Struthio camelus: one gene and its partner. The protein of the gene in region 1 purifies or fractionates together with the protein of each later gene. This does not show direct contact. Links are inferred from orthologs where the notes say so. Each region holds a gene or a part of one and is shown in the gene's direction. Other genes may lie near its edges. The genes, in order: NEUROG3 and C1QBP.

Region 1 (10,795 bases):
GCCGCAGCAGGTGAGGAGACCCCATCCCTCCTGAGAAAGAGGCCGCAGCAGGTGGAGAGGGACCATCCCTCCTGAGCAAGGGGCTGCAGCTGAGAATGAGGGAGCAGCAACTTGGCTCCGGGACGGCCGGGGAGGGGACGGGGCCCCCGCTTTGGGCACAGGGCTGGCGCATTACGGCAGCCAGCACCTCCTGGGCTAGCGCTCAGGCTGCGAACTGTGCTTCGCTCCCTGAGATGGTCTCGGGGCACCAGGGTGGTCACAGTGCTGAGGGCTGCCAGCTGCCTGGCATATCCGGAAAGGCGCTGGGAGGCGAGCGAGCTGGAGCTGCGGGTCTGCCTGGCAGTGGCTGTGACAGCACCTTCGTGGGGTCACATCCTTCCTGCCAGCAGGGATTTGGTTAAAGCAGTGACCCCAGCGCCGGCTGGATGCCGGCCACATCACGTGGCAGTGGAAGGGGAGCTGCGCTGGACCTGCTGGAGAAATCACTATTTTTTTCTGCTGGATGTGATGCTCTGATCATTTTTCATGATCATTTTTATGATTTCCCTGCTCCCAGTTCAACGCCTTCTGCATACACTGAGGGTGGTGCATGAGCGTGCCGCTCATTGGGCTTGTTTTTGCATCCCGGTACCTGATCTTTGCTTGGTTAGAGCACGGTCATGTTGCAGTGACTTGTGCTTGCAAAGGAGCGGCGAGACCTTCCCTTGCCTTGCAGCGGCGGCTCGGGGGCAGCTTGCGGGGGGCTGCTGCTGGGCTGGTCCCTCCAGGCCCGGCTGCCCTTGCTCCCGCGCCAGGACTGGAAACGAGTCCCGGAGGCTCCGGGCTTTTCGCAACTCTGTCGCTGCTCAAACGCCAGCTCTGGTGCCCTCTAGTATGGTTGACGTTTGACCAGTGGAGCCTCCAAATGGGAGAGGAAAGCCTGCCTCTGCCTGTTTTCAGAGGTCAGAAAGCGCTGTCTGTCTGCCTGACGGGCAGCGTGGGGACAGATGAGGAGCGTGACAGCGTGCCAGGGTGCCGTTCAGTGCCATAGCAACTTCACTAAAACGCAGAAAGTTGCATTTTTGCCCTTACAAGACAGAAATGTCGTTCAGGAAGACAACAATCCGAGAAACGCATGCGTACCCTTAGTTGGTGGCTAGTAACTGATGGCCAAAGGAGGATTTATGCAAATGAATGCTGAAGTCTCAAATGTGCTTTTTTGCAGCTGGCAGCTCAAGACAACCACTGCGGATTGGCTAAGTCCAAGCGCTCGAGACACCAACAGCTTCCTGCTGTTGAAACGTGGCTGCGCAGAAAGTAAAAGTTTCTGATTACAGCGGTTCTTTCAGATTTCTGTGCGGCCACATACAGCAGGACGTGCTGACTCGGGGCCCCGGGACCGTCTTGTGGCTTAAAGTGAGGACTTGTGCTCGAACGCCCGTTGGGATGCTGACCTAGTTTCGCTGAGCGGCAAGGGGTGTTGGATTGGCGGCTTTGCAAAGCTCTAGCCAGAAGCGTGCTTCAGAAGCATGGCGCCTGGGAAATCCGAATGAGGGAACGTGCTAGACATCTAACCCATCCCTTCCGCCCAGGCTCTGACCGGGGTAAAAGAAGAAACCCTCATTCTGGCAGGATCTTCTCACAAAATAAGGCCTGAGGCAAGGAACTGTTTGCCACAAAGCAGAGAGGGAGAGCAAGCTTTGTCAGCCTGGAAGGATGGGAGGTAACCAAGCCCCAGCGAGGTGAGGGCTACATTTTTTTACCTGGGTAGGTACTTGGAGGATTGGGTAAGTACTGTAATGTAACAGGTTTCACAGCACCCACCTGTAGGCACCGCAGGTTGGTATCTAACTCTCACCGTTTTGTACATGATACCTGTTTTCCTTCCAGAGATAACCTAGGCTTTTGGCATGCTTGGGTTTATTGTATTCTGACCTAAGGAACGTTTTGGCGTCCGGACAGCTGTCTGCTCTTGTGACCTTATGAAGCCATCTCCCATCAGACTACCTTTTAAGGACACGTAAGCATGGAGAAAGGTTTACCATAGAGGAGACCTTCTTGGGTTCTCTCCCCAGATATGATCAGGTCTACTTCTCTTCTGACGCAGCACAGTGTCCCCCACCCCGGAGCCCACAGGCAGTGCTCCGTTATTCCTGCCCTGGAGCAGACTGAAGCCCCAGCCTCTGTCAGTCCAAGACTGCAAGGGGAAAAGCCCCAGCTCCCGGCAGGACTAGAGGAAAACTGCTCAGGTGGGGCAAGGGCCAGGCCTTTGAGCCAGATCTCTGCAGAATGAAGGCTGCGTTGGCTGCCGCGTGCTCGGGGAGCGGATCGGCATTTGCAGCGGCTGGGCTGCGTGCCGCTGGGAGCTGTGCCAGGGATGCCGGTGGCAGGAGGGAGCAGTAACCCGGGGGAGATGTTACTCCTGGCGTAGCCTGGCTCTGCCTCGAGCCAGGCTGCCTTGGCCCCACGGGGCGCTTGGCTCCGTTACTGCAGGGACCGGTCCACGGGCTCACGGGCAGCAGCCAGACCCCGGGGGCAGCCACTGGCTGCACCTGGCAAAGAGTCGCTCACACCAGGATAAAACAGTGCAGGATTGGGTCCCGGGCGGGGGAACACAGCCTTTTCACCAGCGAGGCTAGGGCAGGCTGGGGAGGGCTGTTGCTAGCTCACCCCTGAGGATGTGTACCGGTCGCTCAGGGCTCTTTCCTCTGGCGCCAGACTCCGGACACAAAAGGCTGGAAGATTTACTGTGGCGAAACGGGGCTTGCTGGGGATTGCCGTCCCGTTTCCAAACACCCCTTGCCGCTCTGCCCATTCACGGCTCCCCGGACTGCTTGCTTAGCGCTCGCCGGGTAATTAATGATTTCCCGAGGAGGCTTCTCCAGGCCCCCGTGCGCGCCCTCGGGGCTCCTGCCGCCGGTGCCGCGGCGGGGCTCCGTGGCGCGGGGCTGCGCTCCGGGCCGGGCCGGGGCTCCCCGGGGGCGCTGCGCTCCGCGGAGCCGGGGCGGCTCGGCCGTGCGCCCCGTCGGGCCGCTCCGGGCGAGCGGGGGACGCGCTGCCGGCTCCGCTTGCTGGGGCGTCTCTTCCTTTCTCTTCCTCCCCCCCCCCACCCCGGCCTCCTTTTGCCCCTTCTCCTTTCCCACTTGCGGGAGGAGGAGGAGGAAGGGCGGGGGGAGGAAGGGAGAAATATTGTTTGAATCCGCCGTTCACAAAGGGGGGCATCTGGTGCACCTTGCGCCTGGCATCTGCGCTCCTTGTGTCCCGCGCAGCGCGCTGGCGGCCGGGGCGCTGGGGCAGCCGTGCATCTGTTGGACGGCACAATAAAGTCACAAAGCAGAGGCGCTGGCAGCGCGCTCCGCGGAGCTGCCCTCTCTCAAAGGGGGACGCCGGCACGCCGGCTCACAGGTATTATGCGCCGGGTAGGTAGGGCCGGGGAAGCAGCTGCTCCGGCGCTGAAGGGCTTCTGCGAGGAGCCGCTCAACATATGGCACCACAAATCACGGTAGCTCCTTAATAACCCCCCACGCCCCGGCGGGGGAGCGGAGCGGAGCGGCGCCCCGGAGCCGCGTCTGCCCGCCGTGCGCCCGGCGCGGCGCGGCGCGGACCCGCTCCCGCTCCCGGCCCCGGGCCCGGCGGGCTGCGAGCTGCCGGGGGAGCCCGCTGCCCCCCGCGCCCGGTGCCACCCGCGCGGCCCCGCCGCGCCCGAGCCGCGGCCGCGGTGGCCCGCGGTGCCCCACGGCCGGGCGGCGGCGGAGGGGGCTGCCAGCCCCCGGCCGTGCCGGAGAGGGGGCCGGGAGCCGCACCGGCCCTTATCTCGCCTGCCCGCTTCCGATCAAACAGCACCAGTTGGGCAGGCCAGGCTGCGGCCGAGCCCGGATTGCAAAACGTCTCCAACGCCTGGCAGGCGAAAGATGGGCCGGGGCTCCACTGGTTACCATATGTTTTCAATAAAATAAGACAAATAGGGCCTGGAGATAGGGATTGCAGTAAACCTGTTATAAAGTAGCATAAAATAGGCCAATGTAAACGGCAGAAGGGCCCCTCCTGGAAGGGCCATTTGGTGCCAGCCCTGCGCTGGAGCGGCTCAGACAGGTGTGAGTAGGAGCCTAATGTGGTGCCCCCGGAGATTTTTATCACGTTTGTGGTAATATTGTGCTTGTTATGCTAACTATGAGTAAACATACCCGGCCGGGCATTGTGGCAATAGGAGGGAGTTATCAGAAAGTGGCAGTGGGAAGGTGATTTAACAATAAAGTTGTCTTGTTTGCCAGCAGGTGATGTCTGCCCCCAGCCCCATGATTAATGCTTCCCAAAGCACTCCACTTTACAATCTCTTGTAATTATTTATTAAACGAAATCTATTTATTATTATTTTAGCAAACAGTGGTACCAGGTGGGGCTTTCTTTTCCTCTTCAGCTTTTGTTTGAAGGACGTTTGAAGTGGGCAGTCTAAGGGTTGGAAACTCGCTCACCAGATTTTTTTTGTCGTCCAATTTGCACAGGCACAAAAAAAACCTGCCGGGCCCTTCCTATTCATCCTCCCCTGCCCTCCTCGCCGCCCCCCTTGGAAGGGGCGCCCGAACCGCCAGCGGGGCCTTCCCCGCCTCGGCCCCGCTCCCCCGCCCGGCAAGACGTGCGCCGAGGCCGCGGAGCCGCCGCCGCGCTGCTTTGGCGAAGGAGCGGGGGGCTCCCGGGTGGCGGCGGCCCGGCTCGGCCCGCGCCCCGGCCCGGCCCCGGCGGAGGCTCCGCGCCTTGCGGGGGGCCCGGCCCCGCCGCTCGCCGGCCCCCGCCGCCCGCCCTCGGGCAAAGGCGGCCCGGCGCGCACGTCGCTCCCCACCGCCCGCCGGCGCCGGTGCGCAAAAATCCCCCGGCACGTTTTGCGCGCCGAGCCGCGGCGAGGGGCCGGCCCGCCCGGGGCTGAGCGCCGGCCTGGGGCGGCGCGGCCCGCGGGGGCGGCCGGGGGGCCCGGTCCCGGTGGGCTCCGGCCCCCGCTGCCCCCAGGGCGGAGCGGGCAAGGCGCGGCGGCGCCGGAGCGCGGCGGCGGCCGGCGAGCTGCGCCCCGCGGCCCGGCGCGCTGGGGCCGGGGCGCTGCTCCCCGCCGGCTGCGCGGAGCGCGGAGGCGGCCCCGGGCCCCCTTCCCTCGGGGGGCGGCGCGGGGCAGGGCGGGGGGTGCCGGGAGCGCCCCGCGGGGCGGCACTGCCTCTGGGCCAGGCGAGAGGGGCCCCGGGGCCAAAGCGGGGCCGGGCGCTCCCTCGGGGGCCGGCATCGGGGCGGGAGCCCGCCCGGCCGCCGGCGCGTCCTCGGCACCTCCGCGGGCGCGCAGCCCGGCCCGCCGCGCCCCCGGGGCTCCGCGGAGCCGGCCCGCTGCCCGCCGCCGCCGCCGCCCCCCCGACGGCCGCCGCGGTACCCCGGTGCGCCCCGGCCGCGGGCGGCGGCTCCGGCGAGGGGTCCCGGCCCCGGCGGGCAGCGCTGCGCAGCGCACCGCGGGGCTCAGCCCCCCCCGGGCCGCGGCGGCCGTCGGGCGAGGGAGGGCCGTCCCCGCCGCGCGGCGCCGTGGGAGCCGGCGGGGGCTCGCGTGGCCCGGCCGGGGCGGCGGGCGGTGCCGGGCCCGGCACGCTCCCGCCGGGGCTGATAAGATAAAAGCGTGCCAAGGGGTGGGTGCGGGCGGGGGGGCGCACACGCTGCCCGCACCGGGAAATCCCCATTGTCTCCCGGCCCTATATATAGGGGCTTAAAGGCAGTCGTGTGCCGGCCGCGCAACCTGCGCTTCCCCGCGCTCGAGGGAAAGCGGGGAAGGGGGGAGAGGCGGGGACGGGGCGGGGGGCACGGAGCAGGACGAGCCGCTCTCCCGCTCCGCCGGCTGGCCTGGAGCCTCGCCCCGGGATTTCCCCCCAGGGGACGCAGGTAAAAGCTGGTGCCGCAGCGCGGCGTGGGGCGAGGGGGCGCCCGGCCGGCGGCGGCGGCTGTGCGCGCCCGCGGCGGCCCCAGCGCCGCTCCCCGCGGCGGCGGGCTAACGCGGGGGCTTGGCTTTGCAGGATGGCCCCGCAGAGCGACTGCTCGCCGGGCGAAGGGCAGCCCTATTTCGGCGGCTCGGACGCCGCCGCCTCCTCGGCCGCCGGCGGCTCGCCGGGCGCGGGCAGCCGGGCCGCCTCGCCGGTCCGCGGCGCGCTGGCCCCGCGGGAGGCGGCCCGCCGGAAGGGCAAGGCGCGGCGGGGCCGCGGCAAGGCCCGGAGCGAGGGGATGCTCAGCAAGCAGAAGAAGAGCCGGCGCATGAAGGCCAACGACCGGGAGAGGAACCGCATGCACCACCTCAACTCCGCCCTGGACGCGCTCCGCAGCGTCCTGCCCACCTTCCCCGACGACGCCAAGCTCACCAAGATCGAGACGCTCCGCTTCGCCCACAACTACATCTGGGCGCTCACGCAGAGCCTCCGCCTGGCCGAGCAGAGCCTGCCCGAGCCCCCCCCGCCGCCGCCCACCGCCTCCGCCGCCCCCCCGGGGCCCTGGGGGTCGCCCCGCGCCGCCGCCCCGCCGCCGCCGCTTTCCCCGCTCTGCTCTGAGCCCGCCGCCGGCCTTTCCGCTTTTGCCTCGCTTTTGCCCTTAAAATAGCCGGGGAGGACGCGCGCCGCTCGCCCCCCTCCCCGGCCCCGCTCGCACTTTGCGCGGCCAGCTGGGGTGGGACGGGGGGCGATGCGCCCCGCTGCCCCGTCCCGCTTGGCTGAACCGCAGCGGGAGCTGACAGGCAAAAACAAATCACGGTTTTGTACTCGGAAACGGTAAATTATATTAATTTGTCGCTATCGGTATTTATTAACTAATATTTCGTAAAAAATATATATATCTATATATTTGTATATAAGAGTATTTTTGGCAGCGGTGGTCCGGTTTTTGTACCGGGGAGGGGGAGCCACGGATGTTGTGTTGTGGTTTTTTTTTTTGTTTTTGTTTTTTTTGTTTTGACACGGAGAATAAAGTGTGTCGCCGTCCGACCTGTGCAACGCGATGTTTTTCCCAGCGAGGGGCTTGCCTTCGGCTTCAAAATCGCGCGCAGCCGCCGCCTGCCCGCGCAGGGGGACGGACGGACGGACGGACGGACGGACGGCGGTGGCCGCGGGCGCTCGGGGCCGGGCACGGGGGGTAACGCGGTGCCGCGGGCGGCCTTTAAAGCGGCCGCGCTTCCCCCTCCGCGTCCCCCCCCCCCCGGGCTGCGCGCAGACCCGCGCAGGGCGTTGCGCGCTCCCGCCTGCTGCTCAGCGGCCTCCCGGCGTTATTTCGGGGCTGTCCCCGAGGGGCAGCGCTGCGGCTGGGAGGACGTTAGACGGGTTAAAAACGCGGGAGGTGGCGGGGACGGGGGGGAAGCACCTCCCACGCGCTGCCGCCGGCGCTCCGCGCCGCTCCGCGGCCGCGCTGCCTCCCCGCCGCCGCCGCGGGAGCACGGCCGGCGCCAGACAAAGCGGCCCGCGAAGGCCGAAAGCCCATTGTGATGCTAATTGTTCTCAGCGGAGCCCATTTGCCAGCAGCGAAGAGACGCTATTGAGGCAATTTGTAGAACAAAAGAAATTTGGGTACTGGAAACAAAGGCGCACGGTGCCCCCCCCCCCCCCGGCTCCGCCGCGGGCCCTGGCCATGGTGCTGAAGGCGGCCGGGCCGGGCCGGGGGGGACCACCCCCTCCACCCCCCCAGGCACCTGCGTTTCGGGAAGCGATATCCACCTTGCTTGCGAGGCGTGGGACAAGGCGGAGGACTAGGGAAAGCCTGTGCCTGTGTGTGTGTGTGTGTGTGTACTGCTATATCCCTGACCGTGATCTATCTGCACCATAGATCAGATAGGCAGAATGAAAGACCTAATGGTATTCCTCCCCCTTCTCCCCCCTCCCCGCCTCCTCCGGCTGAATTGCTTATTGTTTTCATACCTTAACACTCTGCAAAAGTGCTCCGAGGCCTCGTGTGTGGCCACAGCCAAAACACCGTGATTATCGGGGGGATACAATCATTTAGCCTCTTCCCCTTCTCATCCAGCTCCTCGCCGATATCTCCCTATGGGACAACATCACCTTATGCTGTTTGCATGTGCCACGGGAGTGGGGAGGATAACTGCACAGTCAGGTATCCTTCAAAAGGAGCGTTTTTTGCAAAAATTGCAAAAATGCAGCTGAGGGTATGTACGGACAAGAGAAGGGGTGAGAACCTGAGAGGCCAGTGGACTGCAGGTATTATAGAAGTCCTGAGAGGTGACTGTGCAGCTGCATTTTCAGAAAGTGGTCACTCCGGTGGGTTTTACTGCATGGCAGATTCTTCTCTCCGGAGATTTAGGATGCCTCCGGTCTTCCAGCCGTGGGTCTGTATGTTGGGGTGGGGGTAGCGGGGGGAATTTACTACCTCTGGAGAACTAGTGACTTCTTTAGGGGCTTGAATGCATTTTTTTTTTCTTTGCCTCCACATTATTAGGTTAATCATTGCTTGAACTGGTTGCTATGGTTTTGGCAAACCCATGGAAACTTGATAATGAAGACTGAAAGACTCCTTTTCCATTTATCTTTTCTCTATGTTTAGTGCATGATGGTCTCATTTCTCTTCACTGGGCTGTCCCGGCGCCAGCGCCCTGCCTTTATAACCATGGCTTCTGTAATGGCCTCCGGACTTTCTGATGTGGAACAAACAGGTGGCCGCTGGGATCGCAACCATCTCAGAGACACAAACTTGCACCCTCACATACTTGCAAGCGTCAGTCTGAAAACAAACTTTGCCCATGCGTTGCTGGATGCGGTCACTGCGATCCCATGCAAAGCAGGCTCGCCTTTTATTTTTGCAGCCGGGGGAAACCCTCCGACCACCAGCTGACATTTTCATGCCCTACATGCTCACTTTCAGGTGACGCCTTTCTGTTTAGTTACTCACACTGTGAAAGGTTCAACTGGGAAACAAAGGTGGCTGCGTCTGGATGTTGGGATCATTTGTGTTCATCAGAATATGTGTTTTTTGAATATGTAGTGTTGTATTCCATTATACAAATGAGGAGGCTTTCAACCTGTCCCCCAAACCTCCTCTCTCCTCTTCTAGCAGCGTACAGCAGGTAGGTAGCTGCGTTTTGCTGTTGAACTTCAGTCGTGTCTGAAGGCTGGAGAGAAAATTGAGGTGGTTCCCATCGTTCCAGGGCAATTCCTTTGACCCCAGGCCTCCGCTCCGGGCTATAAATATGGCCCGAGGGGAGTCGCCGCCTGCCCTTGGCCATTGTTTGCCCCGATACCTAGGTCTCCTGGCAGAGGAGGCAGCCAGCGCTGTCAACGCCCTCCTACCCCTCTGTGCCAGCGGGAATCGGCGCGCACCCCTGCCAACAACCCGCTCGTCCCGTCTCCTAGCGCGCCGCTTGCGCCTCTGCACCGGGGCGCCCTGCGCTGCCTCGCGGGGTCTCCTTGGCCGGTGCGCACCCGTCGTCTCGCCCCGGCTGCGCGTTTCGGCGTAGCTGCTGCGCTCCCCGGCCAAGAAAAGGCGAAGAATCGGGATTCTTTCACATGGCCAGCGCTCAAAAGTCTGCTCCCCCCCCCCCCCCCCCAGCTATAATGACAATCCAAAGAGTTCCTGATAGGGTTTTAAAAGATGCTTATTCATTCACTGTCCACCAAGCATGAAAATCCAGCTCATTTGTTCATTTGTTTCCATTCTCGGTGCAAACGACCCCACAGGGGCTGAAGCCTGTTGCCGAAAACTTGTCACTCACACTTTTAACTTCTTTTTGTTGTACTTCTCTTTATTTCATTCTTCTGGGTCCCCACCTCGGCCACCACCCCACCCTCTCCTCCCGGCACAAAGGCAAGTCTGGGAATCTCTTTAAAGCTGCAGTGCCCCCCTTTTAAAACCAATACAAAAAGCAATCGCTGAAAGGAGATCACAAGTTTGTGGAAGAGGGAAACTTCATCCTGCCTGGTCCGGGGGCTGCACACGCTAGGCCTGGGGCGGGGGGAGCAGCACAGCCCGGCCCCAGCTCTACCACGGCAGGGAGCTGCGAGGTTTCCGTTCGTTTTCTGGGGGGCTTCAGCTGTCAGTTTTGCCCGGAGCTGGCGCTGACGTAGCCGGCCGCGTCTCCGCGTTCGCTCGGAGCTGCGGCAGGCTGAGACGCGGCCTCCTCGCTCGGGTGAAAGCCCAATTACTTGAGACCGTAGTTGCGGGGAAGTGCTCTCCCCAGCCTACCTAGTCGTATGGAGCTCACCTTCTCCCCCGTGCCTCCCCAAAGCCTTTAGTAGCCAGCAAAATGCCGACGGAAAGAAAACGTTCGCACCCGCACGCCCACGTCAGAAAGGCACCTGCGCGTCCTCGCTCCCCTCCCTCTAGGCGTGGGGGATGGCAGGAGAGCAAAAACAATCCTCTCCCTTTCCACCTCCCACGTACCAATCCATCATCCATAAACCGCCTGGAAAAACACGGCTCTCGGAGCCAGCTGCTGGGCAGCCGCCGGCGATGGGCGAGGGGGAGCCAGCCCCCTGCCTTTGCCCAACTCTTCTGCTCGGTCAGCAAACAGGTTGCTGCGGCCGCCGAGACCTCGCGCCTCTGGGACAGGGGGAAGATTAATGAAGCAGGTGCTGCGAGCCCGGAGCCCGCCAGTTCCCTGATAAGGTGGCTGCTCAGATAGCGCTCGGTCAATACTTAGCTCCTGCGGTTGCATGGTGGCCACCTGGAGCTGGTTTGCTCTGGAGCCCACCTGAGGAGGACGAGGGGCTCCAGGAGGAGGCAGCAGAGGGGATGAAGGCCCCGGGGCGGCCGGGGAGCTGGTCCTTGGGGACGTTGCTTTCTGTGTGTCCACGCACGGGTCCTGGTCCCC
Region 2 (10,888 bases), on another chromosome or scaffold:
TAGTTTGTTTTCACCAGCTGTGGGATATCGAGTGTTGTTTCACAGCATTTGCTGACCTTGAGAGCAACTGAGAGCAGGAAGAGAACAACACATTGCAATTCCTTCACGCTGTGGGAAGGAATGTAGACAGAGGGCAGCAATCACAGGTAGAAATCTGACAAGGAAAAGGGTTAGCACCTGTTCTCTAGGAGATGGTGTGTTTTGGAGATTTCTGCTCTTCATGGTATCCAAAGGTTTTTCATGCTTCTTGGGTGAAGCAGCAGCCCCTTCTCACTCTTGGTGCCTCTGCTGCAGGAATGGTGCAAAGAGAACTTTGTCAACAGCAGGAACATGATGCTCGTGTCGGACGTCAGAGCTCAGCTCAGGGACATTTGCGTAAAGGTAACTTGTTGCCATACTCTATTTCTTAGTTTTGTCTATTTGCATTTTTCTTTTCTGTTTGTCCCCCAAATGATTTCCTTGTGCACCAAGTCCCAGGAGCAGCAAACCTGGTTGTGTTTTCAGTTCCTAATGAACAGCTGGGGAAAATTCCTGACTGTGCAGATTGCATTCCAGAATCTTAGAGCTGCAGGCCTCAATGCGTCTAGGAGAGGTGTAGAGAGAAGTGGGGCTCTGGGAAGGCTTCTCAGGCAGAGGACAGTTTTTCCTAAGGGATCCCGCTGCTATAGTGCAGGTGGGACTGTGCTGTGTGCCACTGGGTGATGGCAGCCTCCACAGCCCATGCTGGCTGGCTTCTTCCCATAATCGGGCATTCAGCTTAGGAGCAGCTTTCACATCAGCACTGCTCCTGCCAGTTGCCCAGCTTGAGCGATAGCACAGGAGCCAGGGCTGGATTACTTGCAGTCCGTACGTGACGTGGGAGCCGCGCAGCCGCGCACCCCTGTCCTATTGTGAATGCTAGCTGGCCTGACGCTGACTTGCAGAAGGGGAGTCTGGATCCGTTTTGTGACTCTTCTCCTTTCTGCTGTTAGTCTGGACTAGCCTAATGCCTCAATACAAAGCCCTGTCTGCGCTGAATTCCCAGAGGTCCCAGAGGTTTTGTAGTTCATAGGCTAGCTGAATTGCTGGCATGGTGTTGCCTGGCCTCAGAAGCCCATTGAAATGGAGTTGCGTTTCCCCCTGAGGGTGCACATACACGCTTGCTTACTCTTTGGCACGAGAAGAACACATTGTGAAAATAACTCCCAAATGGAGTCCCTCTGGACAAACACAGATCTGTGTGAGAAGTAAAAGCTAATGCCATTTGATAGTGAGCAGTACCTTGTGCACTTTAGGGTGTGTGACTGCAAAGTGCCGTGCAGCCCGCTTGATGCTATGGCTTCCATCTCTCCTGCCCTGGTTATGGCTGCCAAAGATCCAAGGAGGGCAGGATTTCAGAGCTGGGTAGCATGGGCACAGTAGCTCTGGAGAATTAGGAGTACTGAGGTGTTGCTAAGGCTGATGTTTCCCTGCAAAGCATGCATGAAAGCCCAGCTGGAGCAGAAGCCGCAGGCTGTCCTCTTCATGTGGCCTTCTCTCCTGGCAGAAGCGTTTCTCTGAGAGCCTGCAAGTGAAGTTAGAACAGTACCTGAGCTCACTCTGCAGGGCCAAGATCCCCTCTCTTTTGGGGTCCCAGCTGTCAGAATGAGTGCCAGAAAGTGATGTGCTCTTCTGGGCTATGCGGGAGCCTCCAGCTTGCTGTTTAACTTCTTTAGATGTGATGTTAGGGGTGTCTGAGCCTGGGCTGCAGGATGCTCTCTAAAGGTGCTACCTACCACCTTGTCTCTCTCACTGCTAACCAGCTATCGATGCCAATGGAGTCTTCCCGCTCAGACACTGGAAACATCCGCCGCTGCCTAGCTCACAGCCTCTTCATGAACGCTGCGGAGCTGCAGCCGGACGGCACTTACACCACCGTGGACTCTTACCAGTTGGTGGCCATCCACCCCTCTTCTGTGCTGTTCCACTGCAAGCCGGCCTGCGTGGTTTACAACGGGCTGCTTCACACCAACAAGTGCTACATGCGGGATCTCTGTGTGGTGGATGCGGACTGGCTGTATGATGCAGCCCCTGACTATTTCCGCAGGAAGCTCAGAACAGCCAAGAACTGACCTGCAGGCCTGGGGCTAACAGGACCAGGATTTTTAGGCTCACCTAATGAGGCTATTTTTTGTTTTGTAATGAATGTATGGGAATGGTAGAGCTTTGCCTTGTAAATCGGGTAAAAACCTTAGAGGAAAAATGGCTTCTCTGTGAGAGCCAGACCTCACAAGTCTCCATGGCTTAGAACAATCATCCTTTATAGCAGTTAATCTGTAAAAGGGAAACATAACAAGTACTCTGTGTGCACGCGTGTGTGTGTGTGAGAGTGATAAATCTGTGTTGGGGGGGGGGAAAGGGAGCTGGTATCAGATTCCAGTTTTTAACACTTACTAAACTTTAACGAGCTTGTATACGAAGAAATGAAATCCTAAGAGCTCTTCTGAGCAGACTTGGTATTTTTTGATGATTGTGCTTGTATCCTTAGCAGGTTTTATTGGCAAAAAAAGGAGAAAAAAGTTTTAAATCTCTACATACAGGGAAAAAATGCCTTTTTTAAACTATTTCTAGAAGGGAGGTGCTACTGTCTTTTACCTCATTAAACATCTTCCTGCCTGCATGTCATATTCACCACGTCATTTGGGACCAGCTGAAAGCTAGTAATGGCGTCACCTGCTTGGACAGGTCTTCATTGCCTGTGTCTGTGTCCCAGGGGCTGGTAGTATTTTCTCGGAGGGGCTGTCCAGCCACCTGTGCATTTGATGTTGCTTTTGTTCTCCCTTTTGCTGTTAGGGCATGCAATTCCTCTGTGTCTGATGCACGTGGAGGAGGCAGCTGTAGATTCTCAATATTTGGCCCCACGGTTCCACGTGGAAAGATGCAATCTGCTCTGTCTAGAGCGATTTTCTTCCTCTGAAGAGCCAAACTTCTTAAAACAGGAGGAGGGACTCACTCCTGGGAAGGATCCAGCGTTTTAGCAGCAAACTCTTACGTCCTTCCCCGCTCTGTATCTGGACACTTCTGGCTTTGGAGTTGGCACACCGTCCACAATAGCTAGTCAAGCTAGTTTGAGGCGAACTCAGCAAACCAAGTACGAAGATGTAGTTTAGACTCTTAGACTTCCTTTAAAGGCACTGGAATCATCAAACCTTTCTTCTGCTCTGACACCGGTGCTTCTTTCCCCCTTCCGCCCCCCCAGGCCCCAATTATACTTTGACTCTCCATTAGAAGTTTGGAGCTTGGCGTTGTTTGTCAAGAACCATAGATCTGCCATTAGTATTTATTTTTATTTTTCCATATCCCTTTGGCATCTAACTATCTTTTTTTCTTCTTATTGGAGAGAAGTGGCAATAAGAAACTTAACCCTCTTTTTAAATACTGTAATTAAGGAACTAAGACCACTCCAAAGGTAAAACTTGTTCTGTAGTGTGAAGGAAAATGGGTTGGTTACATTATGACTGTGTGTGGGTGGAGAAAAAATTTAAGTTGTTTTTAAATGATGCCCTAAGTAGTTCTAAAATAACCTCTCTGGGAGAGGTGACTTCCAGTTTCAACAGAGTCTGTTGACACAGTGTATTAGTTTATACAGATTTTTGGATGAGTTGCACTAAAGCAGATTTGTTATAGAGTGGGAGAGAAAGCCGTTCTGTAAATACGGTGTCATTATATAATACAGTGAGGTTAGCTAACATGGGCTGTGACGGGATTTTCACCCTTTGACTTAAGTGGTGTTCAGTTCTTGCGTTCTTCAAGCATCAACTTAAAACAAAAATAAAAGCTCATGGCATTTTAGTGGGACTGCTCAGGGATGCAGTCATATTGGCAAGCCCTTACTCACTCCATTTGCTTGGGGAGTAAATAAACTGCTGGCTTTGCTCGTGGGATCTGTGGGAACAAGCTGCACTTTCCAGTTAGCAAAATGTCCTTTCTGGTTGCACACATCACAGTTACCCAGCACATTGTAATATGCCTTCTCTTTGGGCTCCTGATTTCGACTTACCTTGGTTCTCTCTTTGAAAACTGGGTCAAATACCTCTTAAAAATAAAAAAAAAATGGAATTTCACTTTTGCTGGTCTGCAAATTGCTGTCTCCAAAGAGAGTAGATAGGGATCCAGTGTACCAAGAACGGTCTTGTCTCTCAGCCTGTTCCCGGAAAGGGTGATACTGAAAGTTTGCGGGGGTCCCGTGGAAGTGGGCTCGCGTCCGTGTTGTGCCTCTTGCGGTGTTGTTCCTTGGTGGTCAGAAACACACCAGTGTGCGGGGCACAGGCAGCCGTTGCCACTTTTGTATGTAAGAGCAGCTATCGGTTTTGATTCGTGTTTCAAGAGTGTGCTGTTATTTCAATTGTTCTCACTCGCACAAACTGCAGGGAATTATCAAAGCACTGTACGTAACTCTTCCTTGTTTATACAGACTGCATCTGTAGGGGAAAATGGAGTAAAAGCACATTTGGTTTGGGCAGTCTAATTAAGCAGACTGTTTAAGGGAGGGGATGGGGAACTGATTTAGAAGTAACTGATTTGTATATTTTTCCCACAATAAAGAGCGATGGCTAAAATCCAAGTGCCGGGTGTCGTTTTGTGAGGCGGGAAAGCTGCATAGCTAACAGAAATGATGGCAGGACGTTTCGGTACAAGTCCTCATAGTAGTGCTTGAAGTCCGGGGGCGAGTGTCCTGTCTTGACGCCGTCCGGGGTTTCGGTGTCACTGAAGCACTTTGGATTTTAAAGATAAAACCTTAGCAGGGGTTGGTGAGTCTGGGCTTTGCGTACAGGAGGGGCCCAGTTATTGCGGAGGCAGGACTCAAACACGAGCGGGGAGCAAAAATCCTGGTCCTTTGAAGCCATGATACCGGACCTCTCCAGCCAGAGCCTTGCTGCAAGCACTAATTGGCCTTTTGTGGGTCTGGTCAGAGCATTGGAACAGGTTGCCCAGAGAGGTGGTGGAGTCTCCTTCGCTGGAGATATTCAAAACCCGTCTGGATGTGATCCTGGGCAATACGCTCTAGAGGACCCTGCCTGAGCAGGGCGGTTGGACTAGATGATCTCCAGAGGCCCCTTCCAACCTCAACCAGTCTGTGATTCTGTGGTCAATAGGGGACAAGAGTGCCAACTTGGAGACAAAGCCCGGGCTTTAAGCCAGGAGGCAGTTTGCCTTGGTCGCGCCCCCTTCTAAAATATTTATTGCTAAAGGCCAAAAAAAATCATTTGTTTCCCCTTTCTGAGGCCTTGCCAGAAAGCTGGCTATTCTTCTAAGAAAGAGCCGGGAGGATATGCAGGGATAAAGCTTTCAGCGCTCAACGATGCTTTTTTCTTGTCGCGGTCAGTGTTGAAGCTTCAGCGTCGTTTCCACGCGCCTGGAGCTTTTCTGTGACCCTTTCAGCAGCGCCAGAGCCTCACCCGCCGAGTGCATGGGGTGGAGAGGTGGTAAATATTGATGTATATACATGTAATATTGACGTAGACGTGGTGCGTGTGCTGCTCTTGTGTATTGTTGCTCTTTGTAGCCCATCAGAGTAGTGAGCTGCCCCCTTGACAGGCGTCCCTCTGCAACCGCTGTAAGCAAGTCACTTCAGGTTTTCCACTTCCTTGTCTGTAAAGCGGAGGTAAACGCAAAGCTGGACCGAGCCCTGCTCTACCGCCTTCTGTTTGCATAAGCAGCGCGTTTCCGGGCGGGACTCCGCAGCTGCCGGGGGCGGGACTCGAACCCGCGGCGCCGGGCTCGGGGCGGGGCGCGCTCGCCGCTGCGCTGCCGCGAGGCAGGACGGGAAGGGGGCGGAGCGCGCTGCGCCGGAAGCACTCGCGGCACTTCCGGGCCAGGCGGTGTCCTCCGCTGCCGGCCTCGCCATGCTGCTCGCCCGCGCCCTGCGCCCCGCCGCCGCCGCCGCCCTGCGCCCGCCGCCGCCCCGCCACCAGCCCCGCCGCCCCCTTCTCCTCCTCGCCGCCCCCTCCTGCCCCCGCGCCCTCCTGCCGCCGCCCGCCGCCGCCCCGCTGGCGCGCTCCCTGTGGCAGCTGGGCGGCGGCGGGTGGCGGAGGGCGCTGCTGCGCCCGCGGCGGGGCTCGGCCGGCGGCGTCTCCTGCGGCTGCGGCGGCCTCCACACCGAGGGTGAGCCGGGGCGGCGGCGAGGGGAGGGAGCGACCCCCCCCGGCAGGAGGGGCGAGGGGGGCGGGGGGAGCCGCTCTGGGAGGGCGACGGCCCCCTGGGGGGGGGGGCAGGGCCCCCGTGAGGGGGGCGGGGGCGCGAGCGGCCACGTGCGCCCTCCCCCCCCCCCACGTGGTCGCGCGTGTCCCGGCCCGCACGTGGCGGGCGGGGGGGGTGCGACACGAGCGGCCTCGGCCCCCGCCGGGCCGTGCTGCCCCCCCCCCCCCCGCCACCGTCTCCCGCGGTGGCCGCGGGGGAAGGGGCGATCTGCAGCCCCTGCCCGCTCTCGAGGGGTTTCTTGCTTTTTTCCTTTCTTATTCACTCGCCTTATTGCTGCCTCCTAAGGAGACAAAGCGTTTGCAGCCTTTCTGACGGATGAAATAAAAGAGGAGAAGAAGATCCAGAAACATAAATCCCTGCCCAAGATATCTGGAGGGTGGGAGCTGGAAGTCCATGGCACAGAGGCCAAGCTGGTCCGGAAAATAGCTGGGGAGAAGTAAGTGCAAACGGGTGCTTGGCGTTTCTAAGGATTCATCTGGGCAAGCGTGTGTGCTTGACAGCAGTAATCACAATTCTTCTGTGTGTTCGTGTTGCTTGTGCCACTGTCTATCCAGGCTGCGCAAACTCTGGGTGTTGCATAGGCTCGTTATTTTACCATCCTGGGCCCAAGGTGTTTTTCTTACCAGTTGGCTTTGTTTTGTGTGTTGCAAAGATTTGTGAGATCTCCCTCCATTAAAAACATGAAATCAGTCTAATAAAACTTGAAGAACGCCCACCTGTTTTATTAGAGCGTGCATCTTAAACTCTAAGCTGCAATACATACCACATGAGGGAAGGACAAATAGAACAGAACATGTAATATGCTTTGAATCTCGTTCATGAGGTGTGAATTCAATGGCTGTAGTGCTGTCCCTGCTACAAAAGTTTCAAATACGAGAGATACAGTAAGTATTTTCTTTATTGTGTTTAAAATAATTGCTTATGGTTCTTTTGAAGGATAACGGTTACGTTCAACATCAATAACAGCATTCCGCCATCTCTTGAAGAAGAAGAAACACAAGAAGAGCAGAAACCTGATGAGCAGGAGGTAAACATAGTCTTTATGTACACTTTATTATGGATGTCAGCACACAGGAAAGTTAGCTGTTTGCCCTTAATGCTTTTTCTCTCATTTGATATTTGGGAGCATAAAGATAACATAACGCAGATTTTTCTCAATTTCCTGTTCTTTGGCTGTGACCCTCTTCTCTCTGTAGCAGGAAGACAGAGAGGGTGAGAGGGTTCTGTATGAGGAGAGATGAAAGGAACGGAGATATTTGACTTTATGGCTGCCTCTGTAACCTGCTACAATAAATACTGCCTTTTGTACTTTGCTTAGCTAGTGTAACTAATGGTACTGGTATGCCATGCCAACAAAATGCAAAACTACTCACATGACGTTGTTTGCATGGTTTTGTTGATTAGAAGAGTGTCGCATGCTCCTTTTTCATAAGACTGTGAGTAAAAGTACTGGTAAAACTAAGCGAGCAATGTGATTTGAGGCAGATGCCTAATCTACAGTGACATTGGTTGAACAAGTAGGGAATGAAACTGTACTGCATGTCTGTGGTTTATAGCAGTTACTCTGCGTTTTTTGAACGTTAGTGCTTATTCCAGTGCATTACTGCTTAGTACACTCAGCTGGGCGGGCTGGGGAGACTGTACGTTGCTCCCCATCCCTGGGCATGCCCTTATCTACTGAGAACACACAGTGCGCTTGGTCCGTGCGTGTGCATAGGAAGTCTTTGTGCACTGCCAAATGTCCCACGTGAAGGAGCGCTGGCGAGAGCAACTCCTGCTCTCAAAACAATTTACAGGGGGAGGAATCTGGGTGAGTTGCAGGCTCTCTGGGTTGTTAGTGATCGTTCTACCAACGTGACCAGATGCAGAATAGAGAAGGGGCTGAAGGGCCGTGGGTGAGGTTGGAGGAGGCTGCCTTGGCGAGGACAACTCCAGAGGCCCTCAAGAAAGAGGGTGACTGGGAACAACCTGGGTGCTGGATGGGCTGTGTTGCTGGGCTGTACCTTGGCTGCTTTAGCTCCCGTTCAGACTCCAATGCTGATGTGAATTTCTTTCTTACCTTTTACGTAGCCTGATATTACATCAACTCCAAACTTTGTTGTAGAAGTAATAAAAGATGATACAAAACAGACCCTTGTTCTTGACTGCCATTATCCTGAAGATGAGGTGAGTATTGAACTGCTCAGGTGTCAGCTACGGCTAACTCTGGCCTGTGGCTCACTGCACATCTCCTGCTTGACCACAGTGTAATTGTGCCACTGTTGAATCTAACTGCTCTAACAGTCTGCTGGTTTTCTTAATCTGCAGAAAATGCAGTCTTCTCTTGCTTCTCTTGTTTAACACAAAAAAAGGCTTTAAGAGCCTGCAAGAATAAGCTCTGGGGAGATGTTCCATTACATTCCTTATATCCTGACCTTGCTTTTCTAATCAGCTACATATAGGCTAGCTTATTGAATTGGAGAAAGGAGGTATGGATTCTTTAACTGCATGGCAAATTGAGATAGGTAAACAAGAATGGCCTAAAGGATACATTTAATACAATGTATAAGTAACTTGCAAATCTCATGGGTGCTGAGGTGTCACAAAGGTGGAAGAGTAGTAGGGATTAGCCAAAAAAAAAAAAAAAAAGAAAAGAAAAAAGGGAGGGGAATTAAACTGAGAGCTTTGCTTCAGGGTGATTTTTGTGGTTTATTTTGCACATCTTAACATCGTTTATGCAGACACTCTGATGTCAAAGGTTAGACAGACTTCTGAGGACAGAATGTTTTAGAACCTTGCAGAAGAGATTTTTACATCTTTGTCATTGACTTACATCAGGTTGCAAGAACTGGTAGACTGACCTCTTTTGGGATTTCCTGTGTTCTCGTGCATGTGCGTGCTTGTCTTCACAGGCATGTGTTGAAAGAGAGGAATGGCTTTAATACTGGTTGTGGGGTTTTGCCTGCACTGTAATATTCCTTGCTTCAGGCTGAAGCAGTGGCTAAAGGAGCCCTGTAGTTTGGGCTAATCTTTGTCTTGCCTCCATTTCCTGTTTCAGGTCGGACAGGAGGGAGAGGACGAAAGTGATATTTTCACAATTCGAGAGGTCAGCTTCCAGCCCGCTGGAGAATCAGATTGGAAGGAAACCAACTACACCCTCAATACAGATTCCCTTGACTGGGTAAGTGCTGCTAAAACTAACAAGGCCTTAGACTGCAGAGGACACTTGAGCTTCCCTGGACTCACTCCCTGCTTCTGAATTCTGGATGAATCCTGTTCTGGGTGCCTGAGACCGGGGATTCCCCTGCTCTGCCCGGGCTTGCTGTGCGGCAATGCTTTTCTGTGCTGCAGATCCACTGCAGACTGAGGGCTGTTATGTGGTCCCAGTAGTCATGCAGTGCTGGTGGCATTAGTGGCAGTGAGAGGCCTCCATGTTGAAACCACTTCTGTCTCAGGCTTCAGAAGTTTATGATGCTTTTTCCTAGCTGCACTGCGTTTTAGAGATGCTTTAACGATGCTTGCACAAGTATCATTTAATCTATGTTCAACGTAACAGTAGTTTAATTTTTGTTTTAAGTTTCCCAGGTATGTTTTCCTAGTGGGGACATAAAATTAAAAGAAACAAACAAACCTGGAATCTGTTCAAGAATCTGGCATGTACTTAAAAGTTCTCAATGCCAGGCTTTCAAAAGGTTAAAGCCTTCTTAATTTGAAGCTGTATATCATGTGATTAACATTTTAGAGTATTTATCTTTGGGTAGTGTTCACATTACGTTGGTAGTGTGCTCTAAAATATCCCGTGCTGCTTTTTTTTCCCCATTCTGACTTGAGACAAAATTAATTGCAAAAAATGTGCCTGGTATCTGGTCTCGTGCAGGAGGAAGGTCTGATTTTCCTCAGAGAAAGAAAAGCCCAGTGCCATGGGGCATCTTAAAATCAACCTGTACCCAGGTGTGTTCTGCTCAGTAAGTTTTCTGTTCCTTCCTTCCAGGCTCTGTATGATCACTTAATGGATTTCCTGGCTGATCGAGGAGTGGACAACACATTCGCTGATGAGTTAATTGAGCTCAGCACTGCACTGGAGCACCAGGAGTACATTAAATTCCTTGAAGACCTTAAAAGCTTTGTCAAATGTCAGTAGATTAGGATAGGAAACTAATCGTCAAATGGGGGTATTGCACAGCAGCGCTCCAGCTAGCAATGCCCAAACATATATCTTCACAACAGATACTGAGAGTAAGTAACTTTGAATTAGGATATGAGGATCGTGGGGGGAAAATGAGGATTCTCGCATGTATTTTGGGATTTGTATTTATGCCCAGATCAAGTTTTAGAACGCTACTGCCTGGAATTGCCTCACCCCACTTGGTGTTTTTGTACAATTATGAATGAATGTGAAGAATAAAAATCTGTTCAATGTATCACTGCAGACTGGTGTTTTTTCTTCTTCTTGCTGTACCACTGCTGACCAGAGACAGTTGCCATAATATGACTTGTTTTCTTTTTTTTTTTTTTTTCCGGGCCTGAACCAGTGTTACTGGTTACTATAGCTGCCCGCAGAATTGTTGATGCGGAGGCAGCGTGTGTTGCCAGCGGGTTTTCTCCAGGCAGAGCTATTCTAGCACCTTTAAACAAACACTGGCATAGTTGCGTCTGGAGGAGGGATTTGGCTGGCCAGCCAGCGCTAACT

What was found.
Region 2: the proteins of NEUROG3 (region 1) and C1QBP purify together in Homo sapiens (affinity purification with mass spectrometry; 3 studies listed by BioGRID and IntAct, counting the BioPlex papers as one, with this or other methods). This does not show direct contact. The link is inferred for Struthio camelus from reciprocal best matches to the Homo sapiens genes NEUROG3 and C1QBP.

What each region holds. Positions count from the first base shown.
Region 1 is NC_090948.1:39,201,651-39,212,445, forward strand, and holds the start of NEUROG3 (neurogenin-3), read left to right. Parts: upstream 1-6,015; coding exon 6,016-6,518; intron 6,519-10,795. UniProt on the Homo sapiens protein: Acts as a transcriptional regulator. Together with NKX2-2, initiates transcriptional activation of NEUROD1. Involved in neurogenesis. Also required for the specification of a common precursor of the 4 pancreatic endocrine cell types.
Region 2 is NC_090957.1:13,519,549-13,530,436, forward strand, and holds C1QBP (complement component 1 Q subcomponent-binding protein, mitochondrial), read left to right. Parts: upstream 1-5,843; 5' UTR 5,844-5,864; coding exon 5,865-6,123; intron 6,124-6,504; coding exon 6,505-6,655; intron 6,656-7,155; coding exon 7,156-7,246; intron 7,247-8,289; coding exon 8,290-8,385; intron 8,386-9,256; coding exon 9,257-9,379; intron 9,380-10,189; coding exon 10,190-10,339; 3' UTR 10,340-10,619; downstream 10,620-10,888. Other genes in the region: ATP-dependent RNA helicase DHX33, read left to right, coding at 295-381, 1,782-2,090.